Linked DNA regions of Oryzias latipes. The protein of the gene in region 2 purifies or fractionates together with the protein of the main gene of each other region. This does not show direct contact. Links are inferred from orthologs where the notes say so. Each region holds a gene or a part of one and is shown on either strand. Other genes may lie near its edges.

Evidence for each region.
Region 1: the proteins of otud6b (region 2) and otub1 fractionate together in Homo sapiens (co-fractionation; 4 studies listed by BioGRID and IntAct, with this or other methods). This does not show direct contact. The link is inferred for Oryzias latipes from reciprocal best matches to the Homo sapiens genes OTUD6B and OTUB1.

Annotation. Positions count from the first base shown.
Region 1 is NC_019876.2:28,615,942-28,631,410, forward strand, and holds the start of otub1 (ubiquitin thioesterase OTUB1), read right to left. Parts: upstream 8,064-15,469; 5' UTR 8,003-8,063; coding exon 7,960-8,002; intron 7,288-7,959; coding exon 7,226-7,287; intron 2,624-7,225; coding exon 2,525-2,623; intron 2,414-2,524; coding exon 2,295-2,413; intron 1-2,294. UniProt on the Homo sapiens protein: Hydrolase that can specifically remove 'Lys-48'-linked conjugated ubiquitin from proteins and plays an important regulatory role at the level of protein turnover by preventing degradation.
Region 2 is NC_019869.2:22,470,576-22,486,063, forward strand, and holds otud6b (OTU domain-containing protein 6B), read left to right. Parts: upstream 1-5,684; 5' UTR 5,685-5,869; coding exon 5,870-5,939; intron 5,940-7,108; coding exon 7,109-7,257; intron 7,258-7,540; coding exon 7,541-7,639; intron 7,640-7,824; coding exon 7,825-8,025; intron 8,026-8,114; coding exon 8,115-8,235; intron 8,236-8,325; coding exon 8,326-8,387; intron 8,388-8,469; coding exon 8,470-8,576; intron 8,577-8,678; coding exon 8,679-8,763; 3' UTR 8,764-9,218; downstream 9,219-15,488. Other genes in the region: ras-related protein Rab-5A, read right to left, coding at 3,253-3,280.

The DNA.
Region 1 (15,469 bases), on a different chromosome or scaffold from region 2:
TTTCCGATTAGAACAACTAGAACATGGCTCACACTTTCGGTTGGAATGAATCATTTGGGCATGCGCAGTAGTGTTGAAAAGGACTGAGCGACATTTATTTCTGCTTCCCCAAACTGGCTGCGTGAGCTGGCGGCTCTCCTGAGTCCTTCAGCCGCTAACCCAGAGCGGCGGAACGCCTCGCAGTCTGAATTCTCCCACACATAACAAAACAAAACAAAAAAAACGCACACCGAACAAGCATCCTCCTCCCCTCAGACACGGAGTTATTAACCCAGCTCCTCTGCTCACTCGGGTGCCAGTGTACCGAGTGAGCGTCGGGGGGCACGAAGAGCTCCTTCCCCGTACCTCCCTCGTGAGGGGTGAAAGAGACGGGAGAGCCAGCGGGGCGAGAGCGGTCCCCTATGCGCTCCAATGCTTTTCTCTCAGCGAAACACCGTCTATGCGTGACTTAAACCAGAGCAGTAGTGACACACGATCGGAATGACCGTTTACATGCTCCACGATAGGATAAACGATCGGTATAACCCACCTATCTCGATCGGAAAGAAATTCTGATCCGAACGAGTCTGATCGGGGCAGAGTTTTCTGAATGGCGCGTTTACATGACGCATTTTCTTTCCGATCAGGCGTTCATTCCGATTACTTTTGCCCATGTAAACGCGGCTATTCATGTCTTCTATGCATTGTGAACGAGATAAACAGTCAATGCTTCTGTAACGTTGAGGATTAAAAATAATTGGACAGTAGCTCCTCCCACACATTTTGACAGTTTGTGGATGACTTTTCCTGAGGAAAAGTCAGGTCTCTCTCCTGACGTATTAAACTCTTATTGTTGCTGTTCTTTAGGATGTGCATTGCTCAAAGGAAGCTAGAATGCAAGGCCACACAGTCTTGTTCCTCTGGGTACCTTTTGTTCTCCTGTTTGAGGATTAAATGATTTTTACCTGTCAAATGCTGTGCTTGTGTGTACTAATAAGATCAAGTATCTTGGGCATGTCGTTTCAGAAGACTTGTCAGATGACGCAGACATCTACAGGCAGTGTCGTGTGGTATACAGCCAAGCAAACACTTTTTCTCGAAAGTTTGGTATGTGTACGGAAGGAGTCAAGGTGACATTATTTAAAGCTTTTTGCACTCCTCTGTATACAGCTCATCTTTGGGCGAACTATAAAAGTGCCAGTACGAGAAAGCTGCAGGTGGCGTACAATGATGCTCTAAGAGTGCTTTTAAATAAGCCAAGGAGGACGAGTGCTAGTGAGCTTTTCATTTCTCTCAGAATTAAAACTCTCTGGGCTTGCATGCGCTCGCTTATGTTCAAATTTATCTGCAGATTAAACGCTTCAGAGAATACTCTCATCTTGGCTATAAGCAACATTAGATTTAGTCCCATATGTTTCCGGTCAAATTTATGGAAACACTGGAGGGACTGTCTTTTTATTTGTCATTGTAATTAAGGTTTTTATAGTGTGGTATGTATATGTAATCTTTTTATCTTTGTATTTATTCTTATCATTTTTAATCAATTTATTTTTATCAAGTATTTTTTATTAACGTTTTTATTAACTGTAACTATACACTGTACCTCAACTTGTGTATTCTTGACACTGTGTATTTGTTTTAAATGTAGTGGGTCTGTGTACTCCTTTTTACTGATTGGAGCATGAGTCTGGAATAAATTCTATCTATCTATCTATCCATCCATCTATCTAAAATGTCGGTCCAGGTACTCCTTAGAAATCCGTCCCGGGTTTCTGGGGCCGTTGTTTCCTGTATCCAGTCCCTTTTACAGGGAGTCCGGTCCAACAGTCTTTCTTGTTTTAGAAGATAAGTTCAGTGTTTTCTTTGAAGAGTTTTTGTTTCTTGGTCCGGTTTGTTGTGCAGCAAATTGGATCCAGGTTTGGAGCAGATGTTTGGTGGATGCTGCATCCAATCGGGCTTCCACTGAAACGATGTCGGTCTTTCAGGTTGTGGAAGCGGGGTTGAGAGTTGGAGCCTCTTTCAGTTACCTCCTCTCTGACTCCCATATCCTCTGTCTTTGTCGTTTTAGGTCTCCTTTTTTCTACAACTGATGGCACTCTAATTAGAGGGCAGGCCTCTCCTCTCTGACCCGCACAGGTGAATTTTGTCAGGGCAATATGCAAACTGTCAGATCGGCAGGACATGGCGCGACCGTCACCTTTATTAACCCATTTCTGGAAAGACGTCCAGCAGCCAATTTGGAACTTGTCGTTTGGTGAGAACGCAGCACATCATGAACCCAATGAGACAGAACCGGTCCTTTAGAAAACACTAACCTCTGAAGCTCTTTGCTGTCTTCTAACAGGGATTCGAGGTGTGCAAAACCAAAGGCCCTGTAGAAACAGTTTCCGTCAGGCCGTGTCTTCCGAATATGAGAGTACTTTTTGTGGAGATCCTGCGACGACATCAAAGGGCGTAATTTTAAAATCTATGCGGCAGTTGGAACATTAGTAAACCGAATGTAAGGAGAGCGAAGACGGAGGCGGAGATGCGTGAGCCCACCGACCTTGATCTTGAGCTGATAAACCATGTCGTCCTCCGCATATTCTTTCTGCAGCACCGACAGCTCCTGTCTCTCCGACACCAGGGGGTTCGTGTTGGCGATCTGCACACTCACACAAACACACATCACAGTTTGTGTTTGCACTGAGAGACTCTCTGCAACTTTTACTACAGGTTTGGATTCACACAAATGCTTTTGTTCTACTGTATTTTTCCGCACCATCAAAGAATGGCCTATTTTAAAACTGTTAAAAACAGTCGCATAGAACAGAAATTGGTGTAGTGGCACCAATGGACCGGTACCGGGCCGCGGGACACTTGGCACCGGGACGCACAGAAAGAAAAAATAATTTCCATTTTATTGCTTTTTTTCGAGAGAAAAAAACGTTTTATTTTGAAAAGTGACCGGATTCTCTCTGTTACATCCGTCACACTTAACGCACGTCAAAGTCGCGACACCAAACATCACGTGATACACCCCGCTAAAATTAAACACAAAAAAACAAAATGAGCAAAAAAACAAACTTCTTTAGAAAGTTGCTTTGACAAGGGGAAACGGTCCAATGAAGGGACAGAAGAGGAACCTGCACCCCCTAAAAGAGGGAAATCTGCCTTTAATAGGCAGCGGTAAACGTGCCTCAAACCCCCCCCCCCGCGGTAAACGTGTCTTGCGTTGTACCGGTCCGCGGTAACAAAAAGGTTGGGGACCACTGCACTAGATGATGCTGCGCTAAAGGGAAGGTCAACGAAAAAGTCAGAAAAGTCAGTTTGTCAAACTTTACGAATAGAATACAAACCAACATTCTGACAGCTCGGTTCACTCCCAAAACAAGTTGGTGCAATCACGATACAGTAACTCTTGAAATAGTGGACAGCCAGAACAATAACTCAACGTTGTCCAGACGTTAATGTCCATATTCGTGTCTTGTCATAAAGGAAAGCACCAAGAAGGGCCGCCTCTAAATTCACTGATGTTCATGTCGCTAGCTAGTTGGGAAGTGTTTTCTCTGTTGTGGGAAGATTTCTCCGCTATCACTTAAAAACTATCTAGAAGTTTTAAACAGCAATTCAGACTCCACGCTGACTATTATTATTATTATGACATCACCGATTTCCAGAAGCAAGAACCTCATAAATAAATATGAACAATTAAAGCCTGTGTCCCACAGCCACTATGTACATTGATATAGCCCGGATGAAAACTGGTCACTGGTGATATAAAAGTTATACAACGGTGGTTCATGCATAAAAAGTATGTTAGACATAAGATAAACAGTCGTTGAAAGACACAGATTTGTGTATGCATCTTGCGAAAATCAAGCACAATTATAGTTTATGTAATAATTGTGTGTACAACAGGCACAAACTGTATAATTCTCAAAATTTTAAACTCAAAACCAAATTCACGTAATGATCCATCAGCTGAAACCCTCGACGGACACCTATGCATATCGACAAACGACGAAGGCGAGAAAGAACAACATTTCATACGAGGAAAATGCTCAAAAAGTACTCGGCTGTGTGACACGACCTTGAAAAAGATTTTAATCCACGGTGATGAAAACATGAACAGTTTATAAAAATAAAATTGAAACATTTTCTCTACAAACAAAGAAGCGTTGCACTGTAGTTTACGTTGGCCAATCTTGTAACATCGATGCCTACTAATTTCTCGTAGAAAGAAATTCCAGGGCACTGAAATTTGGAACTGTACATTCGGAATCCCCCACCAATAAAAAAAGTGGAACGCCCTATATAGTGCATCGAGTAGTGCTTCATGAAGGAATTTGGACACCATCTACATTTGCAAATATACACCACAATGCATTGTGGTTGAATGACTTTTCAAGTGAAAAAAAAAGGATCATTTTCACGATATCAAGCTGTGCAATACGCATATCGCGAAAGTCTGCAGAAATTGCGATTAATGGTTACCTTAAACGTGCACAATGGCAGCTTGAAGTATTTAAAGAATCAAATAAATCCCTTCATGCGTTTGACAATCGATGGACGCATTCACGTTGTTGACCAATCGGATAGACACATTCACGTTGTTGACCAATCGGATAGACACATTCACGTTGTTGACCAATCGGATAGACACATTCACGTTGTTGACCAATTATTTGGACAAATTCACGGTGTTGACCAATAGGATGGACGCATTCACGTTGTTGACCAATCATTCGGATGCATTCACGTTGTTGACCAATCATTTGGACGCATTCACGTTGTTGACCAAAAATTTGGACGCATCCACGTTGTTGACCAATCGGATGGACACATTCACGTTGTTGACCAAGCATTTGGACGCATTCACGTTGTTGACCAATCATTGGCGCATTTACGTTGTTGACCAATCGGATGGACACATTCACGTTGTTGACCAAGCATTTGGACGCATTCACATTGTTGACCAATCGGATGGACACATTCACGTTGTTGACCAAGCATTTGGACGCATTCACGTTGTTGACCAATCATTTGACGCATTCACGTTGTTGACCAATCATTGGACGCATTCACGTTGTTGACCAATCGGATGGACGCATTCACGTTGTTGACCAATCGGATAGAAACATTCACGTTGTTGACCAATTATTTGGACAAATTCACGGTGTTGACCAATAGGATGGACGCATTCACGTTGTTGACCAAGCATTTGGACGCATTCACGTTGTTGACCAATCATTGGACGCATTCACGTTGTTGACCAATCGGATGGACTCATTCACGATGTTGACCAAGCATTTGGACGTATTCACGTTGTTGACCAATCGGATGGACACATTCACGGTGTTGACCAACTATTTGGACACATTCACGTTGTTGACCAATCATTGGACGCATTCAGGTTGTTGACCAAGCATTTGGATGCATTCACGTTGTTAACCAATTATTTGGACAAATTCAGTGTTGACCAATCGGATGGACACATTCACGTTGTTGACCAATTATTTGGACAAATTCACAATGTTTACCAATCGGATGGACACATTCACGTTGTTGACCAATCATTGGACGCATTCACGTTGTTGACCAATCATTGGACGCATTCACGTTGTTGACCAATTATTTGGACAAATTCAGTGTTGACCAATCGGATGGACACATTCACGTTGTTGACCAATTATTTGGACAAATTCACAGTGTTTACCAATCGGATGGACACATTCACGTTGTTGAACAATCATTGGACGCATTCACGTTGTTGACCAATCATTGGACGCATTCACGTTGTTGACCAATTATTTGGACAAATTCACAGTGTTTACCAATCGGATGAACACATTCACGTTGTTGACCAATCATTGGACGCATTCACGTTGTTGACCAATCATTGGATGCATTCACGTTGTTGACCAATTATTTGGACAAATTCAGTGTTGACCAATCGGATGGACACATTCACGTTGTTGACCAATTATTTGGACAAATTCACAGTGTTTACCAATCGGATGGACACATTCACGTTGTTGACCAGTCATTGGACGCAGTCACGTTGTTGACCAATCATTGGACGCATTCACGTTGTTGACCAATTATTTGGACAAATTCACAGTGTTTACCAATCGGATGGACACATTCACGTTGTTGACCAAGCATTTGGATGCATTCACGTTGTTGACCAATCATTTGGACAAATTCAGTGTTGACCAATCGGATGGACACATTCACGATGTTGACCAATTATTTGGACATATTCACAGTGTTGACAAATCGGATGGACACATTCACGTTGTTGACCAATCATTGGACGCATTCAGGTTGTTGACCAATTATTTGGACGCATTCACGTTGTTGACCAATCGGATGGACACATTCACGTTGTTGACCAAACATTTGGACGCATTCACGTTGTTGACCAATCATTGGACGCATTCACGTTTTTGACCAATCGGATGGACTCATTCACGATGTTGACCAAGCATTTGGACGCATTCACGTTGTTGACCAATCGGATGGACACATTCACGGTGTTGACCAACTATTTGGACACATTCACGTTGTTGACCAATCATTGGTGCATTCAGGTTGTTGACCAAGAATTTGGATGCATTCACGTTGTTGACCAATTATTTGGACAAATTCAGTGTTGACCAATCGGATGGACACATTCACGTTGTTGACCAAGCATTTGGACGCATTCACGTTGTTGACCAAGCATTTGGACGCATTCACGTTGTTGACCAATCATTGGATGCATTCACGTTGTTGACCAATCGGATGGACGCATTCACGTTGTTGACCAATCGGATGGACGCATTCACGTTGTTGACCAATCGGATGGACACATTCACGTTGTGGACCAAGCATTTGGACGCATTCACGTTGTTGACCAATCATTGGACGCATTCACGTTGTTGACCAATCGGATGGAGCCCTTTCATGTCAATTTCTGCCTCCTATGTAGATGAGTGTCATTTTAAGTATAATGCATGTTGGCCCTTACTTAAATGAACTGTTGCAGTGGAATAGAAATAATGTTTTCGGTTGTTTTGCTATTTGTTCATGTATTGCAAGTTCCATCGTCAACGCAATATAGATCACTAAAATGGCAAATCTAGAGTTTTCCTCATTCCATTTAAAGATTTTCTTAAACTTCAACTCTCTGAAACGTGAAGATCCAGACGTGATCATCACAGACATCAGACCAGTACCGAGCTCAGCATCTGAGCCCGGTCCAGTGATGGGGTTTCCTCACCTCCTGCTGGATCCGGTCCTGCTGAGCGATGATGGCCTCATCATGCGCGAGGCAGTTCACACCTGGAAGACACGAGCGCTTTTAGCTTTACCTGAGAGCAGCAGCAGCAGCCACAACAACAGCACCACAGAACTCTCTAGAACCTAGAGCCACTCCAAAGTACAAAGCAGATTCAAAGATCGTCTCTGCATCGTCCGCTGCACTGGTTGGGAAATAAAAACAAAGTCGGCGCGCGCGTTTTTGGGGGAAAAAAAACTCACGAAACGCGAGTCAAAGGGTAGCAGCACAGGATGCTGATGAGGGTTCAAAAACAAGTTGGATGTCGTCTGAACCCATCAGAACCGGTACCGCTGTCTGTCTGTCTCTGTGACAGACACAGACAGACAGACAGCTAAAGGGTTTAGCTCATGATGATGCTGCGTCAAAACAAAACTAATTATCAACGAAAAGACATCCGTCCTGCAGAGTCTGCATGGGTTCTGGCCTCCGACGGGTCCTCATCGAGCTCTGGCACTGGGGGAGGGGGGCTATCGGTCGGCCGCTGCACTACAGCGTTTCCTTTGTGTGGCTCGGTTATCGTTAGCCGAGCAGCTGCGACCCGTTTACACTTCAGTCTACCGGAGCATCGGGCGGACATCATCCCGCTCGGAGCTCCGGTCACATCCGGTCCGGATGTTCGGCAGAACTGACAGGTCGGCACGCGGGGTTTTTCGTGCCACAGGGGCTCCTCTCACCCTCCATCTCTCCCTGTGATGATTCCTGCTGTTCCTCCGCCATCTTAGCTGTGGAAATCTGTTTCCTCCTTCTTCATGACCTCAGCGATGACGCACTTCCGGGCGGCCGCTTTGCTCTTTTTAAAACACACAAACACGATAAAGTCAACACAAACTGTTGTTGTTTTTTTATACTACACACACAGGAGAAACAACAATAGTGTCACCGGAACAATAACTTTGTCCTGGACTGAAAAGACCATTTTTGTCTCACAATTCTTCCTAAATTTGACCCGCCATTCACTCAAAAACTCTGACAGGTACAGAAAAAATAAAACAAAAATACAAATTATTTTTTACTTGAGGATGTGACGTCCTCACAGACTTGGACTTCTCAAATTATGAAACCATCCGTTTATAAATTGGAAAAAAGGAGGAACCCCCCCCCCCCCCCACTTAATTTATAAAGCTGTAGTCTTAAGGTCGTGTCAAACAACCACCACGTACATTTTGTGCATTTTCAGTGTATGAAATCTCAGTCCTCCGTGATCCATGCGTGATCTACGTCAGTGGTCCCCAACCGTATTCATGCCACGGACCGGTATGACATCACACAAACTTTCACGGACCGGTATTTCAAGTATAGGCGGATGATTATTGTAGCAATACTAGGATGAGGGAGGATCAAATACGTGACAAGACGAACTCTGTGCTTTTAGTTTGACTCGCTTAAAAGTTGACATCGCACAGGTCTCATCATCATCTCCCCTTCCCACACTCTCGTGGTGCAAAAAAAGGTACTGTCTATTAAATTTAGCTTTCTTATTTTGGAAGTTGAAGGCTCTTCTTCTTTCTCCTGGCTGGGCATTTTCCCCTCGGCAAAGAAACTTTCCAAAGACATTTTGTTTTTTACTCATTTTGCTAGTTCCTGGATTTTATTTTAGCGGTAACTTAACACGTGACCGAGAAGAGCGCCTTGGAATGCGTCAAAAATGACATAGACTGATGTACCAAAGAATTGGGCAATTTTTCAAAATAAAACATCTTTCAGATTCCGAAATAAATAAAACAGAAGTAATGCAAGTTATATATTCTTTCTCTGCAGCCCGGTACCAAATGACCCCAAATGACCCCCGGAGCGGGCAGATATCCGGGAGCCCGGGGGTTGGGGACCACTGATCTACGTCATTCATAAATGTTTCTTGCGTTTGTCGATGTGTTCAGATGTCCCTCGAGGGTTTCAGACGACGGGTTTTAACGTGAATTCAGTTTTGTTCTGTTAAAAATTTTTGGTCGGTTGAGAATTACGCAATTTACGTAGTTTATACGCAATTATTACATAAATCTTCTGCAATTACGTGTGATTTTTGTGAGATACACAAATGTGTGTCTTTCCAGGAGCGTTCCACGTTTGTCTAACAGACTTTTCATGCATGAACCACTGATGTGTAACTTTTAGATCACGTACACGGCGCACAGATCACGTTCAGATGACATCATTGATGCCTGAATCACTAATGAACTGCATGTAATTAGCGCAATAATCATTAACGGTTCATGTTCCACGTTGGGTTACGTCTTCTTTGTGTGGATTATACTTTTTTTTCGTGTTTTTTAACATGTTTATTCATGATAAATCTGTGAAAATTTCACGTAAAGACCACGGCTCTGTCCGATTTCCCACCCTAACCCCTAACCAGTGGCGGTTCTACCCTGAATTACTCCCCGGGCGAGACCCTCCTCTGCCCCCCCCCCCCCCCCCCCCCCCATTAGAGTCACTTTGTCCATTTATTGTAACTGAAACTAAGAAATTGATATAAAAAAAAAGATGTTTATCAGAATTCTGCACTGCATTATAACAGTTATAGGAACATAAAAATTAAAAGACTATCAGCATGGCAAAAATACCGTTAGGAAATATTTAATCAAACACAAATAAATAATCTAAAATAAATATTATAAACTACAAATCACACTAATAACACACTAGAATAAATGTAACTGCAGCACTAAGAACAGAAAACACTAACTAAAACCTAACCTTTGTGGCCTTCCTTGATGCAAGTTTGTCAATAATAAATCATATAAAATCTGCTTCCCTACTGAATGATTGATACTAACAACAGCAGGTTAGTGAGTTGCTCCTGAGACTTTGGTGATCTCAGGTATGACTTGATCAACTGGAGTTTTGAAAAGCTAACAGCTGCAGCAGCTGCAGCATCAGCAGCATCAGCAGCAGCAGCAGCAGCTGCAGCAGCATCAGCAGCAGCATCAGCAGCATCAGCAGCAGCAGCAGCAGCAGCAGCAGCAGCAGCAGCAGCAGCAGCAGCAGCAGCAGCATGCTACCATCACAGCTCATTTAACATTATGAACTAATATACAACAGTAAAACACAACAAAAACTTTGTGACACAGCAGACAGACACACGAATCATAACTAATGTTACAAGTTAAGGCAGAGCAAACATTTAAGAAGAAAATCTTAAAAATGACGTTATTTAAAATATTTGGGCCTACTTCAGTTTTGGTCATGATAGACCAAACAAGAGATTTTTCCTCTGCAACGTTGTTGTTGTTGTAGGGCAGGTAGCATTCAAATTTAGAAAACGTGCATCTAGCTATGCTATATTACCCTTTTCTTTGTCTCTTTTCTCCTCTTTTTCTTTTCTTTTCTTTCTAAATTGGGCACCAGCTTTGACCTTTTTTCTCCATATTTCAGATGTTTTTGCATTTAGCATAAATGTCCTCACAAAAGCATCAAGTCTGTCGACTAAACCAACTGTCACCTTAGTGAAAACATTGTTTTATTTTCCCATTTTTTATTTGGGCATTTCACACAAAAATAACCAAAAAAGCATGATTTTTTATACCTGTTTTATACCCGCACTACTTTTAAAATGGCAAATAGGATGTCATCCATTTCAAGAAGTTAAAATCTAATAAATATGAGCGTTTTGCGACGATTATTTATGAGCCCAGAGTCTTCTAAAGATATAAACGTTGATGGTTTATTAAAAATTATAAAAATTGATCCGTTCAATGCATTGAGGGTTATATTCGTCAATCTAGTGAGCATCAATGCACGCTGGTTTTTCGTAGAGACTTCTGGGACATTTCTAGAGCACTGGATTTTGGAATTGTAGATTCGGACAGAACTACAAAATGGGGAACGCGCTAAATAGTGAGTAGAGAAGGAATTCGGACACAACCCACAACCCCTCTCACTGTTTCCACATCTATTCACGCATGACCAATTTTCATCCGTGTAAAATGTGCAAAATGTACATATTAGCTTTATGACACGGCCTTAAAGCTGAATTTCTCAAGACGCTACACAAAAGGTGGGAAACAGGAAACCAAGCTAAAGTAATTCTGATAAACAGTGAAAAGGTTTTGTTTGCTTAAACGCACTTATTTTCTTTAAACAAACAGTTATTCCCGTAGTAAACCCATCTACGAAACCATCGTTTAATAATGGTGACACTATTTATCTGTGCAGTCTGAGACATACCCGCTCACCTGAAATCAAGATTCTTCTTTTAACTTTTTCCTTCTGTTTTTTTTTTTATTAGGCTGCTTCAGGTAAAACTAAAACAATCTTTTTCTTTTAATCTGTTGTTTTCAAATGACTCTTTTCCTAAAAAAGGTAATTTTGGGTTTAAAAAGAGACAACTATCATCACTCAAACATGTTCTACCCAAATCTCTGGCGTCCACCTGAACGCTAGCGTTTCTTTTTGCATTGAGCTCTGAGTTTATCCGGAGGGCATCTCAGCAGATGTCCCTCCCAACTGGATCCATATGGAAGCATTTCTGTAGCATAATTAAAAATAAACGTCAGCAACAGAAATGCTTTTGAAATGCAGCTGCATTCAATGACTCAAAAATAAAATGAAAAATCAATCCACCAAATCAGTTTTCTTTTTCTTCTTCAATACCGCTCTTTTTGTAACTTATTAAAATGATAAAGAAAATGGTTTTTGACATTTCATTGTCAAAAAGTTCTCTAGTAAATGTGTAGCAAAGTTCAATTATAAATATCTATTTGACAATTAAAATGGATCAACAGAAATGCTTTTTCATTTTCACAATGTAACTGCATCAGATGAGTCAAAATAAAAATGAAAAATCAATCCTCCTAAATGCTTTTTCATTTTCCACTTCAACACTGCTTACTCTCACATAATTAAAGCGAAAATGCAAAGAGGGGATTGCATTTTCGTTTTCACATCTCCCCCTCAAAAAGTGTAGGATAATTCAATGCCAGTCAGCATTTGCAGGATGGAGGCAGAAAAACCAGTTTGGCGGATTGATTTTCATTTTAATTTTGAGTCAACAAACGCAGCTTCATTTTGAAAATGAAAAAGCATTTTTGGTATTGACTTTTATTTTTAATTGTGTTACAGAAATGCTTCCATAGTTTCAGGGTTTTTGTGTGACAAAGATGCTGTCGGAGAAACTCCTGCACAGTACTCAGAAATGGAGTAAAAAACTTTATTGGCTTTATTGACCCTTTTTGTTTTTTATGTTAAGGTCCGCCTCCTGGATGTTCTTTTTGATTGTCAGTGCTTCCCATGTTTTACTTTTAGAGCATTGCGAAGGTGGGCGGAGTAACCTCAGGTCAATGTGCCCCTCCCACTTCAGGCTGCACTTTCACCATGCAGATCCATGGATGACGTGTTTGGTCTAGCGTGAGTCTCCATGTCCGGGTGTTGACTCACAGTTTGGGGTTTTGTGTGACATTTTTGCTAGAAAAACCAATTGTTGGCTGTTTTTGCTAACTCTACCTGTCAGAATGCTTATCGTCTACAGTGGGAGGTATTTTCCCTCCGGGCTTCAACTGACTGCTGCAGAGATAGTAAACAGAACAGAAGCCTCCCGTGCACTAAGGGCTCCAGAATCAACGCTTTTCCTCCTCCCACACCAAACACTCACACACCCAGGCAGTGAAAACAAACAGCCGGCCAGGGCAGCAACAATAAGACGCACTACCACTAATACTGTCCAAAGACAAAAAAAAAGACTCCCTCATTTATTATACTAACATAAATACACATTTACCCCCCCATCTAAGCACTCTTTGTGTTTAGAAGCTTCTGAGCTGCGTGCACTCGTGCAGCAACGTCTTTGGTTTAAATGTATAATGGTTTTGTTTTTTTTCCTCTTTGAGGTGATTGTGAGTTAACCTAACAGGAATCACTCAGATGGGGATTTTTGTCAAATGACAGACAGTTCCCTCCAACAGGCCATTTTTGTGAGAAGAAAAATATATAACATTTCAGGTTCATTCCAAAATCCCTCCCTACACACATCTGGGACACATATGGAAACATTTAGATCCTTTTTAACATTTAATTGGACCAAATGGATCATAAATGCTAAAAGAAAAGTTGTCAGAGGAACTAAAAACTTAAAAGGAACAAAGCGCCCACGTTAACCATTGTGCTATCTTATGGGGTCAAAATGACCCCCCCCCTTACATTGATGTGTTTTCCCTACCATGACAAAGGTGGATAAAGGTGGAGAGGATTTCATGTAATCCATGGACACCAGTGAAGATCACAAATCATTCAAGAAAAAAGGTTCAGAGCACTGTCTAGTGGGTCTAGATGACCCCACTCCCAATGTTTAAGTGCCTAGGATAGCACAAGGGTTAAAAGCGCCTGATAATCAGCTATGATCTCCACTCAGAGACAATGTGGACGTTCTTTTTCTTATTGTATTTTACACTTTTTATGTGTCAACTTCTTTTCTTACATATCATTTAGAGATGGCAACAAAAGTTAAAAAAAGAACACTTTCAAAAACAGAAAATTTAAATATTTTTAAGTAGAAAATATTTTCCAACACCTAGATGTCCCTTGAAAAAGCTGAATAAAAAATACAAGTAGTTTAGGGCAGTATATTCCTGTTCACGTGATTTAAATGTAGAAGTTTACAGCAAGCGTTTAGTAATGACTAATATGTATTTTTTCATGTAAACCCAGATTTATTGTTGAAGAAAGGTTTCCTTTTTCTTTATTTTATTACTGGTCTTCAAAGAAAAAATTTACAGTAATTTTCTGCATAATATTAATATGAGGGTTCAAAGAATTGGTTGGCCCTCACACATTTTCACCTCCTCTATTCTGGCCCCCTGCAAAAAGTTTGGACCCCCCTGGTTCAAGGCTTCTGACTGTTCTGGCTGTGCTCACTAGGGGGCACTGTTTCCAACAAATGTGGTGCATCTGTTAGACTCTGAATCCAGATCTACCACCCTGCCAGTGTCTCAGCTCTCCCTGCACTGCCTGCTGCTGGTTACCTGGACCAGGTGTGTTTCTTCAATCAGAATTTGGAGGCACGTGATTAACCCTTGTGCTATCTTAGATGACCCCCCCCCTTCCATTGACGTGTCCCCCCTACCATGACAAAGGTGGATAAAGGTGGAAAGATTTCATGTAATCCATGGACACCAGTGAAGATCACAAATCATTGAAGAAAAAAGGTTCAGAGCTCTGTCTAGTGGGTCTAGATGACCCAACTCCCAATGTTAAAGTGCCTAGGATAGAACAAGGGTTACATGTTTACATAAAACCTTATTAGCCCTTGTGCTATCCTAGGCACTTTAACATTTTATAATTTTTCTTCAATGATTTGTGATCTTCACTGGTGTCCATGGATTACATGAAATCTTTCCACCTTTATCCACCTTTGTCATGGTAGGGGGGACACGTCAATGGAAGGGGGGGGGGGTCATCTAAGATAACACAAGGGTTAAGGCTTGGATTATGTTTTCTTGGTGTCCTTCAGGCAGATGAATTTGATGTAACTGAATACCGACTCCACACAACATTTCACAAAAAAATAATACTTCATATTTGGCAAAAATAAAAATCCTAAATTTATTACTGGTGTCACAGTGCTCCACATCTGAGAGCTCCAAACAACCTCACCATTATTTAACATAGGAACATAAAAAAACTCCCTAAATACATTAGATAACACCTTTTTTTCCTGGGCAAGTTTGACGTTTTGCAGATAGTTTTGAGCGCAAAATTACGTATTTCCGCCTGTATGGTTGGGGTGTGGGTAAGTGGGTGACCCCACCTGGTGAAAACATATGACCTGACAAAATATGTAACACAAAAATATTATTAAAAAAGGAAAACAAAGCTTTCACAAAATAACAATACACAAAGCAGAAGTTTCTGACAGTTTCAGTGCTTCTGCTGAGAAACAGGGGCCTGGATGGAGGGGAGGAATGTCTCTTCCAGGTGTGGCCAGAGGTTACAAACCAGAAAAGTTCAGGATCAGACGCCAAACCTACACGCAAGTGTTCCAATCAGCATTTCTGATGTACCCACTTTCCCACAGTCTGTGACTCCTCCCACCGCGGCTGATTTCCTGCTGGATGAATCCCCTGAGTGCTTTCAGTATCACCTCCCGGCGTGTGCGACACGTTCACCCGTCAGCTGATCAGAGCTTCCAACAAAACATGGGAAACCCTTCCAATGAACACTGCTGTGGAAGTCTTTTTTTTACACTAGAACTGC
Region 2 (15,488 bases):
CATTCGCGTCATATTCCTCCACACACAGGACCACAAGCAGAAGGACAATTATTTTCACTTTAATTCTGGTCAAAACTGCACAATTTGCAACAAAATGTAAACATTTCTGTCTGTGAAAAACAAACAAAAAACAACAGTTGTTGCTGCTGGTTTAAGGATAAGGATAAATGTACGCCTGAGGGGGCACTCAAGCAAGAACTAAGAGGAGAAGCCAAAAACAACAACAACAACAACCATTACGGTAACTTAAAAACAGCTTCATACCACCCAAAAACATCTCTCTGGGAAAATACACAACTGATTAATAAAGTATATCAATAAAATTATTCAAAATAAATCGTAAAAACTCAATATATTGAACAAACAAGGTTTAAACAACCATGAAAAAAGGTTGTAAAAATGTGTTACTATAGTGTCACAATAGAGAAGCAACAGCTGAATCTAGAAAGGCCGATAAGGAGATTTTCAATCAAGCATTTACCAACAGTCATTTCCTCAGAAACGGGCAGCCCTGCAATTACAGGCAATTCTGATAGAAATGTTAAAGTAAAACGCTGCCTCTCCATCTTCACAGAACTGTTCTTTCAAGATGTTTTATGTTCGATACATAAAAACAACAAGATTTTGGACATAGCAGGCTTGTTTGTCAAAACTCCAGTTTGTTCCATGAATTCAGGCGGCATGATTCACTCGAAAGCCCAGCAGTGGATAAAGCAGAAATGATGCAGGGATGTGGACTGCTTTGTCATAAGCACCGTCAAGTCACAGAGTTGCCTCAAATCTGTTTTGTTTACCAAAACAAACAAACATGCCCAAAAAGCTGAACTTTGGATAGATACAGCATTGTATCGCAAGTCATTTAACCTTCTTGACCCATTTAGAATAAGATTTATTCCTATTTTCTCCTATGTCATCCCACAATATAGGTGAATTTAGAATATTGGAATGGTAAAAATATAATTATTTTTGGCTGAAAAAGGTTCAAACTGTTACAAATGAGTATTTCCTGACTTATATTTTAGATATTTATGAAAAAGGTTTACTTACGTTAGCACAGCAAAAATTCAAACCATCTAAGAATATTATTTCCACCATATGTTAAAAACGTTGCTGACATGTATTGATATATGTGTAAGAATGTTAAAACAATTAAGGATTAAATTTGATTGGAACTGATTCTAACATTTAAAAACCACTAAAGCTGCTTCACTGAGTAAAAGAATGTGATACAAAACCTTCTCAGAGCAGAAAATGTTAAATAACAATAAGAATATAAAAGCAAAACTTCCAACTACAAAGTAATAGTTAGTGTTAAAAACAGACAGGTAGAGCATCGGTGAAATGAACTAAAAAATGTGTGGCCAGTCTACAGTGCGATATATTAAAAAGGGCAGCCTCCCTCATAGCCAACAGTTTTAACATGAGAATCGATAGGAAAATAACCTTTCAGATATATTCAAACAAAACACGGTTTGGACTAAGCTAGTTGGTTGACGGCTCTACTTACAGCAACTTAAAAGTTTCATTAATATCCGCCGATGAATCTTTCAGAGCTTCATAAGATCAGGCTTTTTGCCAAGAATTCTAAAACAACTAACCGACTGGCAAGTGATCTGCCTCCTGAGTCTAATCTGTCAGTTCAAGGATATGTGCCAACATGGTAAATAGGCTCTTCCTTAATGAGATTAGACGAAAACAAAGCTTACAATCAAATAAATTCATAGTCAATAACCAGATATGAATGCAGAAATGCAATTAAGAAGGCTTCCACAAGGGACAAAATAGCAACAATAAAAAAATATATATACAGCTTTTTAACCTGAAATTATCAAGCCTGGTTATTTTTCATTACGTTACAAGTTTAAACAATAACCTGTTTTAAATGGAAATCTAATAAACTAGACTAAATAAACCCACATTAGCTGTGTTTACACTCACTATCATCACATAGAAATCCATAATACAGTCAAAATGTGCCAGGCACCCAGAACACCATTGAAAGTCTTAAATCTAGACATCTAAAAAAGGACTCTACGGAATTGGTTTTGTAGACCAACTTTCAGCAAGAATATTCTCCGTTTACCCACATTTGAGGATTAGTGTCAACAAACACGCCATGCATACAGTGCGCTAAATTTGGGTTTAGACGTCATCTGTCAACTATAAACATACTGTAAATGCTTGCAGCTAGCTTGGACGCATTTTAACTTAAATTCTTGTGTAATGTAGCTTGATGTACCACTAACCACATATGTTTTCAAGATCAAAATCTATTATTTGACCACTTTTAAAGAGCACACAACTTCAAGAACAACATCCAAACAATGCATACTTCCAATTATCTTATCTAAATGTTTACTGACAACAGTTTTAAGATGTAGAGGAGTTGCTTAATTTACCTAGGTTAGCTTAGCACAGCTAGCAACTCACCCACCCACCCATTTAGCTAGCAGCTTAAAACGATTAGCCGTACTTGCTACTAACCCCGTTGGTTTATATTATTCTCATCATTCCCCTAATCAACTAAATTTGAAAGCTGTACTCAACGGGAGTGTTTCAGCTGTGTTCCCGCAGGCGTCAAACATAGCATCATTAGCCAGAACTAGCTAGCGTCAGCGCTGGCTAAGGAGTCCCAAACAGATGAAGAAACGTTAGCCGTCCAAACAACGGCGCGCTACCTGAGAGCCAGACGACGCACGGAACTTTTATTGGCACCGCTGAAGTTTTTTTCACACGCCGACCGTCAGGCACCAGAACGGTAAGTTGGTTGGGAGGGGGGGGGGCAACAAAAACAATTTAAAGAATCGCGTCACGTCTCCTCCTTTCTTTATTCTCGCAACTTCCTCTTAGAACCAAAACACTAACAAGCTCTTCCGGCCTCCGTGCCACGTCAGACATCACGTCGGCCCAGCGGCGTTTCCATGGTGATTACCGGAGAACTCAGAAGACGAATTAACCACGAACGCAATGTGATGATGGAAAGATGCAACTTTATTATTCAAATGCTATACCTAGGCCGAATCCGAATTCTTCCATGTAGCCATACATTTAGCCCTTTCAAACAGAGAATTGTAGAAAAATTGTGTTATTCGGACGCGACTCCCACTCGAATACGTCATCAATAGTCGCCGGTCAGCTAGCCTTTTGATGTTAAAATGGCCTGCCATAAGCGCGGAGCTGCCAGCGCTCGGAACGACATAACATTGGCTTTACAGCTTTTAAAAGGTCATGCTAAAACAAAAAACTCCTTACCTACATTTAAATGTAAACTTCTGTGCATCTGCCACCCACGAGAAGAAACGTATGGAGTTATTTCAGTCTCAATAATCAGAAATGCACACAACCTGTTTTACAAATGCACACGTGACGCTCCGATTCACAAATGTCATTTTATGCAAACGTGAAAAATAAATTCGGAAACGCGCTTCTCCTCCGCTGCACACAACACGACGCGGAACACCCTCACCGCGGTGGGCTCGGCATCCCTCCGCGGCGAGGGTTAGCCCTAAAGCAATTATTGCGGACAGCCCAACCCATCTATGCCCATGCAATTGATGGATTGGGGGAAGCCGTAAGGGTAGGGGGAGAATTCGGATTCGGCCTTATAACCTTTTTAATGGTGTATTTTGAAAAGTGGAAAATTTACATTTATCAAAAGCAAGTGTCTATTCGCACTTAATTTTCGGACCTAGACTAGAGGAAAAGTTCCTGAGCTGAGCTTTCTATGCAGCTCACCGCACTTTCACGGGATGGATCAAATGTGGAAGACACTTTTCACACAACTAGGAGCGTGGCAGTTAATGGGACTTAATGTTAAATATAAAAACGTGCGGCCAACAACAAAATGCAAAATTAGACGGTCTTACAAATGTGGGAGCAATGCAATAATGTGCATTTTGGTTACACATCATCCATTTATTAGCTTCTTTTTCTGTGCTGAAAACATTAGCCTTAGAAAAATCAACTGCATTATCATGAGGAAGTGCCTATTCGCACATAACATTCAAAATAACTACGGCCAGACCTGAACTTCTATTATTATTATTAATATTATTATTGGTGTTAATGTATGTCAGCCAGTGTAAAGACTGTTTTTACTACTACTACTACTACTACTACTACTGGAGGTTTGGAGGTGGAGAGGTGGAGGTTTGCTCTGGAAAGAAGAGGCATGAAGGTCAGTCGTAGTAAGACAGAATACATGTGTCTGAACGAGAGGGATCAAGGTAGAAGCGTTAGGTTACAGGGGGCTGAGGTGAAGAAGGTGCAGGAGTTTAAGTACTTGGGGTCAACAGTTCAGTGTGATGGGGATTGTGGAAAAGAGGTGAAGAGGCGAGTGCAGGCAGGTTGGAGCGGGTGGAGGAAAGTGTCAGGAGTGTTGTGTGACAGAAGAGTGCCAGCAAGACTCAAAGGAAAGGTGTACAAGACAGTGGTGAGACCAGCTCTGCTCTATGGGTTAGAGACGGTAGCAGTGAGACAGAGACAAGAGGCTGAGATGGAGGTAGCAGAGATGAAGATGCTGAGGTTCTCCTTAGGAGTGACCAGGTTAGACAGGATAAGGAACGAGTACATCAGAGGGACGGCTCATGTTGCCTGTGTTAGCGACAAAGTCAGAGAAGCCAGACTGAGATGGTTTGGACATGTTCAGAGGAGGGATAGTGGATACATTGGTAGAAGGATGTTGGAGATGGAGCTACCTGGCCGGAGGGCAAGAGGACGGCCAAAGAGGAGATATATGGATGTCTTAACAGAGGACATGAAGTTGGCTAATGTTAGGATAGAAGATGTTCATGATAGAGTGAGGTGGAAAAGGATGATTCGCTGTGGCGACCCCTGATGGGAAAAGCCGAAAGAGAAAGAAGACTACTACTACTACTACTACTACTACTACTACTACTACTACTACTACTACTATTACAGCAATGAAATACTGATGAAAATAAACAATAATTTTAAGTTATTAAAACGCATAATAATAATAGTGTAAAGGCAATTTATTCGAAGTCTTTATTCCCATGAGATCTAGAATTGTTCAATATTTTTTTATTTTTTTTCCATATTTTTTTCTTAATTATGTCTGGATGCAGGAAAAAGCCAAGGGATGCGCTAAAAAGTAAAATATTTCCCAACGAAATATTAAATTGCAGTAAAAAGACAAAATTTCAGTAAAAAGACAAAAATAATTTCCTATAGCAAACAAATTAATAGTTTTAATTTTTATTTGGCCTTATAACTTCCAGGTTTTTTTAACTAAAAGGGTTTTCAGACCTACTGGAGATGCAAATGAACATTTCCATGCATTTCTAAAAGCCTTTCTTGCATCCAGGCTTTCTGATTAAAGGATTTTAAACATGAGCATTAATGAAGAAGAATGTGGTAGGAACAAGTTGACTGTGCAATCTAACAGTTTTAATATTCAATGCTGCAGTCAGACAATACTTATTGGATCTTTTGTTTTGTTCTTTGTTATTTTCTTTCTTGTGAACAATTTAACAGTTAAATGTGAAACTTTTTATGAATACGATAAAAGTAAAGAAATAGCACTGGGAGCCCCAAATAGTCCTACTTTTATGTTTTTTATTTGTGTTGAAGGGGGAAAGGTTGTCCTACCACGACTGCGCCAGCAGGTGTCACTGTAGCTCCACGTCCCGCCTTTAAGCTCAAACGAATAAGAATCTGCAGCATTTGCTCGAATGTAGCTTCCGGAGGGCTTTTACGATTGCTTTCATCGACAGTCAACTTTCTTTTTTTTTTTACTACTTAATGTTTACGCTGTTGGTACAGTAATGTGCCGGGGTGCAGGAGTATCTCCAGGTGGATTCCTGTAGGATAAAGAGACTCGAGGATCAGGAAAAACCAGCAGCGAACGATGGCGGAGGTGGAGACGCCAGAGGAGCTCCTGATCAAGCAGCACCGGAAGGAGAAGAAGGACCTGCAGGGTAGCTGACATGACCTGCTTTCACGTGTTTGCAAAGCTTTAGCTTCACTTCTCCTCTCAAGTTCAGGTTTATTGTGATTTAAGCGTATTTTCCTGTATAGCAGCACGTGCAGATATTTTGTATACTTTACTCCATCACAGAAAGTTAGAAAGGGCTCCTATTCTATTTTTTTATTTAACATTTCAATGATTTTACTATTAAGTATTAAAAAAATAGTCAAAAATTCAAATAATCTGATTATTTTTATTGAACATTTGCAGAGTATAACAATAAGAAAAATCATCATTTATAAAAATACAATATAAGAATACAACACAGTTCTAAATACAGAATAAAATTGTTTTAACCTTATGAAATTCATATAATCTGATTGTAAAGTCACAGTGGTTCAGGTTGACATCACAATAATGGACTAAACACATTAGGAGAATTAATTTATTTATAAATACTCCTATTTATTTTTAAATTATCTTGTCACACATTTGAGATCAAAGACAAAAAAGTTAAGAAGTATTTAAGTCATGAAAATTTTCAAACACATTTCATAAAAAGGTGAGAATGAAATGCGAAATACAAAATATCAAGTTAAAAAAGAAAAACAAACGATCAGATCAAAAAGAGTTTATTTTTCTGGTAGGAGCTTCTGGTGCTGTTGGAACTCAGAGCAGAGACAATCGTTAGTAAAATCGATTCAACACCCACACACTCGATTCAGTACGAAAATGCATACTCAGACGGATTCAAAGTTTAAAAATAACCAAATAAAGATGCTGCTGACTTTGCCCTTTAATAGTCAAATAGTGGTTGGTATAAAACTCCATGTAGCTCACTTTGATCTGAAGGTGCAAAGCAACTAATAAAATAAACTAACCATGAATGAGGAACTTTCTCAGAGCTTGGCAAAGTAAAGGCAGATAGAATAGACAACAGACTTTTATTATGAAATTTGATGCACTTTGTGAGCTCTTAATGCACCTATCATGATTCGGTCCCAAAACAATTCTGTTTGGCAGCCAACAGAAGTCATAGTTCTAAACAAAACAATCCTCTTGAGCCTCTATTTCTAACTGCCTGAGAGCTGTGATCTGCTATTTGTGTTATGTTCTTAACCTGTCTTCTTCTCTGCTTGATTTTATTCATCTATTCATTTTGTTTTTATTTTTCTTTAGCAAAGATCCAAAGTATGAAAAATGCCGTCCCCAAAAACGACAAGAAAAGACGGAAACAGCTGACAGAAGACATCGCAAAGCTGGAGGCGGACCTGAGTCAGAGACACGAGGATGAACTCCAGCAACTTAAATCTGCACCGGACAAAGATGTAGGAGCTGGTTTACTTTAATTTGGTACATTTGAACACATTTTTATGCTTTTTTTTTTAAACTGTATTTTTGCTAATTAAGTGTATAGTTTGATCTTTTTTTTGTATGTTTTTCCTTTTTATAAAGGTAAAGATTTTGTCATGGGATTTTTTTTTCCTCCTTTGAAGCAGAGAAAATGCTTTGCATTTATTGAACATGTCATAATTTTGGCTTTTGGTTCATAAACTGTACGGCGGCAGCCTTCAGCTTCATGACCGCTGCTGCTCTTCCTTGATCTTGAAGGTGGAGGAGGCTGCAAATGGGGTGGAGACTTTAAAAGTAGAAGCTGGAGAACAAGAGGAGGTCAAACAGCCTCGAGTTACAAAAGCACAGAAAAGAAGGGTGAGTGATGACCTGAAGTTTGTATAGGATTGTTACCGCATATGAATAATGGGGGTAAATTGTCCCTGTTTGCAGCCCTTTTTAGATATTTTTTGAATTCTCCAAGTTTGAGAAAGCCATCTGACTGATCTATATGTCTGTTTCTTGTCATTTGAATGGATCGACTTTATTGAAACACCCTCCAGGACAAGAAAGCAGCTCAGGAGAAGGAGAGGGATAGCAGGATCGCAGAGGCCGAAGTGCAGAATCTCCAGGGTGTGAGGCACCAGGAGGGCGTGAAGCTGGCTCAGAAACTGGCTGAGAAAACCCTTCAAATCAAGGAGATTTCCTCCGACGGCCACTGCATGTACCGCGCTGTGGAGGATCAGCTGACGCAGAGGTCCAAGGTGCATGTTTTCCGTCGGCGTGATGCTTTTATCGGAAACGCCCCGTTTGTCAGCAAAGGGATCATTTTGATTTTTTGGGTCTTTCCTAGCCAGGGTTGAACGTTACTTTTAAAGAGCTGAGGTCCCGCACTGCTGAGCACATGAGGAACAATCCGGAGAACTTCCTGCCCTTCCTCAGCAACCCCACCACCGGGGACACGATCACGACAGGCAAGTCGCCGTCTGCTGTGCTTCACAGAACAAAGTAAACCTGTCATCCCGCTGTAAGTATGCAGATCTGAACTGTTTCTGTCCCTCCAGATGAATTTGAGAAGTACTGCAGTGAGGTGGAGCACACAGCAGCTTGGGGAGGGCAGCTGGAGGTGATGGTGCTCCTTATCTGGAGGTGTCGACGTTTAACTGCCCTTTTCACTCATCTGATCTTTTGTTTTTTTTTCTTTGAAGCTCCGGGCTTTGACCCACGTTCTCCGCTTGCCCATCGAAGTGATTCAGGCCGACTCCCCCACTCTAAAAATCGGGGAGGAATACGACGCCGAACCCATCACTTTAGTGTAAGCCGATCTGCTTTATAATAATCTCACATCCATCACACAAACCTATCAAAATGCCTATAAACCTTAATTGAAATCACGTGTCTTCCTGATTGTTTGCAGGTACATGCATCATGCCTACGGCCTGGGAGAGCATTACAACAGCGTGGAGCCTCTGAAGAATCCGGCCAATGCAGAGGAGAGCTGAGAGCCAGCGGAGGTTTTCTGTGTCACAGCTCAAAGGACTGATGAGGATCTTGAAAACATGGAGCTCCTTTTCTGGGAAGATTAATAAACACAGCAGGATTTTGATGTTAAATATTAGGCAGAAGGAAATTATTTTGGCAGTAACAGCATGGAGGCTAGTGTTCTGCACAAACATAATGTGGTTCTTCCAGGTCTCAAACTCACGGCCCCTCTAACTAGTAGAGTGGGTCGCAGCTCTTTTATAGGCTAAATCCTATTATGGGGTGTAAACGCCACCTTTTAAGGTGTCAATAGAGCTCACAAAGTCACAATAAAGACCTGAGAAATGTCGGTTGCTGCTTTAAGAACAAATTTAAGATAAAAGAAAACGAGGCCCCTGTATTTTCCAAGCTCCACAAAAAGTTGGGAATTTGTCAGTGGTTTGCTGTTAAAACACATTAAATGGATCCAAAAACACTTGTTTGAGTTAATCTTTTAAATAGTTTTATTTCTTGGTCAAAGTCCATGTGCCTATTTCAAAATTGAGCTTTTATAGAACGCAGAACTCTGTCTGTCCTGTTTCTCTCTCTCATTTATCTATACAGTATATATAGATACATATTTCTGTATCACTCTATATATATATGTATGCAATATAATACCAAAATTATTGACTCACCTGCCTTGACCTACATAAGAACTGGAGTGTCATCCCATTGAGTTCAATATGATGTCGGTCCACCTTTTGCAGCTATTTCAGCTTCAACGCTTCTGGGACGGCTGTCCACAAGGTTGATGAGTGTGTTTATAGGAATTTTGGACCATTCTTCCAAAAGTGCATTGGTGTGGCCACACACTGATGTTGGTGGAGAAGGCCTGACTCGATCTCTGCTCTAATTTACCCCAAAGGTGTTCTATTGAGTTCAGGTCAGGACTCTGTGCAGGCCTGTCAAGTTCATCCACACCAGACTCTGTCAGCCATTTCTTTATGAACCTTGCTTTGTGCACTGGTGCAGTAATGTTGGAAGAGGAAGAGGCCGCTCCAAACTGTTCCCACAATGTTGGGAGTGTGGAACTGTCTATTATTGTTTCATCTTTAGTCAATTTCAAATTAATTAGGAGCTTAAAACATTTTCCTTATAAATTGTTTCTTTTATTTTCTAAATCCCACAAAACCCAATTTAATTTGAAAGTGACACAGTACTTAGGATAATAAGATTGTTAAAAATATATTTTTCAAATGACATCTTTACCTGATTCATCACAATCTGAAAAGATAAATTCAGTCTTAACTTCAATTTTCTTTAAACGTGTCCTCCGACCTCCGTCATCAGAAAAATGCTACAGGAACCTGTAAAAAAAAAAAGCACCGTTTTCATTGGAGTGTGTCTCTACATGGCCTGTGTGACTTAAAGAAAGCGCCATGAATTTGAATAAAAGCTCAGAAAGCTTGTTTTTTTCTTCTGTTTTTTCATAGCATATTTTAAAACCAGAGGTAGCAGGTTTGCTTCCAGAACAACAACCCTGGCCATCCTCCACTGAGCAGCAACTCCATCAACCCTCCCCGCCGAGCTCCTCCTTTAACAACAGTTGAAGCCGTTTCTGTATATTTCCCTCTCAGCTTGACTGTTTGTTGGAAAATTGCCACGACAGTCCTTGAACTGTTTTACTCATCACACAGATTTGTGATTAAATGGGTTGCTTTGCTGCCTCACGCTTTGCCTGCAAATGGTTGAACTGATTTGGGGGGGGGGGGAATAATGACCTGAAGGAGTTTCCAACTGTTCGGTGCCATCTGGAGTCCTTCAAAAACTTTAGCTGCTGAACGACTGGAGGGCCACCTGATGCGACAGGTACTGTAAGACACGACTTTAGCATAATCACTATCATCTCCCCTCTGAAATCTACATTTATAAAGGTTTTCATGCATCTATAATACAAGACTATTTTTATTATTACCCCAAAATGAAAAAAACAAAAAAACAAAATCAGACCTGATTAATTCCATGATGTGATCCAGTGATGCTTTCTTGCAGTAATTGTGACAAAAAGGTGTGAGTGATGGCAAGATGAAGACTGATGGATTCTCCAACTGTTAACAAGAGATAAAATTAATTTTTTGTTTTATTTACAACAATTTTAAGCATAAAATGAAAGTCACCAAAACCTCCTATAAGGACGAAAAAAAAAAAGGAAAAACACTTAAAGGAAGTGATTTAACACTTGTGCTATCTTAAAAGACCCCACCTTTACATTGACGTGTTCTTCCTACCATGACAAAGGTGGATAAAGGTGGAAAGATTTCATGTAATCCATGGACACCAGTGAAGATCACAAATCATTGAAGAAAAAAGGTTCAGAGCACTGTCTAGTGGATCTAGATGACCCAACTCCCAATGTTAAAGTGCCTAGGATAGCACAAGAGTTAAATTCACTAAAGCTCAATTTTTGAATGAAACTCAAAACAAAATCTTTGTGGTTCTTTCTGAGAATTTATCATAAGGCTAATTTAGCACAAGTGTGCAATAATGTTTTAAAAATTCAACTCTGCTTCTGTTTCCACTTTGCCGTTTTTTCTGGAATGTTGCTCAAAAGACTGAAGTGCCAAACTTGAAAGGGAAATGAAAATTAAAGCACAAAACACAAAGACATTTCTTTGCATCTCAATAGAATATCTTTTGTCGTCCCCCTCGTCTCAACTTGCTGCGTGGTTTAATACAACACAAAGGTTAAGGCAAAAGCACAGCTTTTATTTTGACTTCATTAAATGCATTTTCTTTTCAATTTAAATAGAAACATAATGAACAATCCCCAAGACACAGTATTTTATGGAGCCATGGACATTAAAAAATCATAAATTATGCACTCAATTTGTAATTTTGTGCAAACAAGTTAGAATTTTGTGTCCACAAGCTAGTATTTTGTAAGCCAAAATAATCCAAAAATTATTAAAAATTTGAACATATTTCTTTACATAAGCAAAAAAATCAGTCAGTGGAGTAAGACAAATGGTCTTTTCTAGAATTCTTAATTTAAGAAAAAAATTGCAGTCATTAAGAATAAGATTATTTTGCTACTTATAATCTGTGTTGATAATATTCTTTTTCCTGCAAGACAAAAAATATTTTTTTCTTTCTTGAAACAAGGATCTTTTGACTTTTTACAACGGAACAACGGAATATCTTTAGATATTAACATTGGTTGAATCCTCATGGACACTGATCAGTCGGCGCCAGTTCATTAAAGCATGGTGGTGGCAGTATTATGTTATGGAGGCCACTAAATTGAAATGACACAAAATAGTAACAGCCTACTGAAACCTGCAAGGAAAACGGAGAGTCATCTGCAAAAAAACACACGTTTTTACTGTAATAGTGATACACCACAAACACTAATGACAAACATTTCGATAACAATACTTGTATAAACTTAGAAAGACAAAATTGTGTTAAAAAAAAGCTTTAAGATAAAAGGAGAACTAATTTGTACCTGACAAATCCGTCTGATTTAGCAGGTAAATGTGTTTTTGTCATTTCTGAAGGCTTATTTTGATTTATCCTCACGCCTGATCATCAATTTGATAACACAGTTTTGCTGTTTGGAATCTTTATAACCATCACAATGTTTGATTTTCCTATGATTTATCTGTTTCTCAGCAGATTTGACGAGCTTTCCGTTCTTGTAATTCCAATTATCTTTACTTCCAATTGGCTGTATCAGTCAAAATATATAAAATAACTCATTTAGTTGTCATTCATTTCTTCAACAACAGTCAGTAATTATTCATTCACGTTAACAGGAGATTTTTGGAACTGAAGTTGGACACGTTATTAAACATTTGTGCAGCAAAGCTCCAGTTTCTGAGCTTTGGTTTACTTTTCACATGTTACTTCACTCTGTGGCCTGTAGGTGGCAGCATCGGAACATGGATGTTTGGCCTATTTTAGGATTCGTGACAGTAAAAGACTTGAAAAGTGGGCCCTTTTTTTAAAGAAAAAAAACGATAATTTATTTTTAAATAGGTATTATTTAAGGACATTATGGCATGTTTTTTTCCCATTAAAACTCCAGGTAATCCCTAAAACCTTACGATATCAGGCAGACCAAGTGTTGGGGCTCTCAGAGAAACCCCTCTAGTGCAGACGGAGTAAATGACAGAAGATCTTGTCTCCTCAGTTGCCCCATCTCTATTTCCATCAGCAGCTAGCAGCATCTGTTTCAACCTTCTAGACAAGAGATAGATGAAGAGAGGGAAGGATGGAGAGAACTTCATTGCTTGCTTGAAATTAATTTCTCATCCGAGCCTCCAGAGCTTACCGGCTGACTCTGTAGCTGCTGCAGCCACTGCTGCGGCATGCGTCTACTGAGTCGGAGCTTCATGAATAATGCATCAGGTTTAATTGCAAACCCAGAAACTAATGACTTTGGACTGGTTAACAGCAGGGGAGCCATACATCTCGAGCAAACTGAATGAAAAATCAGCTCAGAGGAAAGAAAAAAGCAGCCTACCCCCTAATTGATGAATAATTGAAGCGGCAAGCTACAGGGCATAATTGTGACATTTTGTTTCAATCAATTTCCAAGTGGTGTGGGCGAAAGTGCACTTAAAGGGAAAAGGCAACAACAATGAACGAGAGGGAGAGATGGAGTGGATGGTGATGGAAATGGACGTCTTCAGTCACTTTGATGACATTTGGTGGAGTGAAGCTTTTTTTCTTTTTGCCTCTTTTCTACTCAAACTTCTTTTATAAAACAACAAAAAGCTTTTTAAATCCCATCCTAAGGTGCCATTGTTCATTTGCACTCATTTAACAAAAACATAAAGAAAATGACACAAGAACATAAGGTGAGGCTGGTTAAGTAGGGCTGTTTGTGTTTTTTTTTTAACCAATGTTTTTTCCTTATCGTACTGTTACAGTTCAACACTCCAAGAGTTTTCCTCAGACTTATGAGTGTGGATTGAGTTCCTCCAAACTCATCTGTTCTGCTAAAAAACATGAAACACACCTCAGTGCTGAAATAAAACAGAGGTCTGACTGAAACTTAGACTTTGCAGTATAAATTTAAAACTTTTCAGAAAAAAAAGAAAAATGAGCGTTCTCTCTGCTGCATTTCTGATATTTTAATGTTAAAAGTGGTTGCCATGGAGGCAGGAGTATGCAAAAAGGGTTCAAGCCAGAGTTGGAGCTATGGGGGGGGGGGGGGGGGGGCATTTGCTCCCAACATGAGTAAATATTAGTGTCAATATTGACAATGTCGCAAGAACAGGCAGACGTCTGAATCCAAATGCAGCGGTTTATTAGCCCAGCTAAAAGTCCATAAAGCGAAATCAGGGTCTGGCAGGTAGGAGTCATTAACAGGCACAAGATCATCAGAGAAGAGACAGGGTGGTCAGAGTCCAAGCAAGAGTCAGGGCAGGTGGACAGCAAACAGAGTCAGAAACAGGGTCAGGAGACAAAAGCTCAGGTCTGGATTTAACACTCATTAAAGAAGGCAGAATGTCTCAAACAATAGCTCGCACTGAGCGAGGCTCAGTGCAGTGCTTAAGTAGACTGTGAGTGATTGAGTGAATGAGAGTCAGGTGTGTGGCGTCCAGGAAGTGCACGCTGGGGTTGCTGGGAGATGAAGTGCTTTCAATGCTTTGGAGACTGCTCCTGCTGGTGACCAGAGGAGGAGACAGAGTTCTGACTTCTGACAGACAAAGATAAAAATATTAAAATAAAAAAAATCAACAATACAAGCTTCTTTAAGCATTGGAAAAACAACAAAAACAAGGTTTTTAAATAGCACCTCAGCTAAAAAAAAATAATCAAACTGTTGTAAAACTGTATTTTGGATCCCGGCATCCTTCCACTCTGCTGTTCTGCGAAGGAGAGTCTAAGGGCAGGGATGCCCAGTTTAGTTTAGTCTGTTTAGTTTAGCCATTAGCTATTGTATTTTATGACTTTATGTTCGTTTTGATTCATGTTTATTAAACAATTGCCAGTATGAAGCCCATCAAGATGATTATTATTGTAAATATTGAGCGATACAAATAAAACTGAATTGAATTGTTCTCATTCACCCCCATTCCAAAATCTTCTGTCCCCACTCTTGCTCCCCCTATATGGTCTAGCTCTGCATCTGATTCAAGCAATAAGGTTTTTCTGGACACAAATTTTTATGTTTTTTTTTGTTTTGTTTTTATAGCTTGTCTTAGTTAAGTGATGCTGTCAGTGGTTTCCTACACTTAAAAAAAACCCCACAGTCAAATGCATCAAACCATAGAGCTTTAAACAGCACTGAACTCTTCCAAACTGTGGCACATTATTTATCGCTTGTTCAAAAGTTACAGCATCCCGTACCTTACGAAGTTACTGTCTGCCTTACATCACTGCTATACCTTTTGGAACTAGCAGTGGAATTACAGTGATATAGTGATGAGATGATGATGATAAGAAGTAAAAAAGCTGTTGAAGCCCTACTTGAATGAAAATGGTGTTTTAGCATGTTCTTGTAACATTTTTCTCATGATGTAGGACTAATAGAAAGAAGAAAATAACTTTAAAAATGGATTTCTGAGTTTTCATTACTTAAAACGTTGTGATTTAGGAGAAGACAAAATATGCCTGCATTTGTTTCGTATAAGCTACCATCACTAAGCTAAAAACTCCCTGCTCTCCCCCATTCTGATGCATCCACTTGTAGACAAATAGGTCCATATACGTCTTTGTTTTCCTCGTCTGAGCTGGCATTTGGCTCTAAACT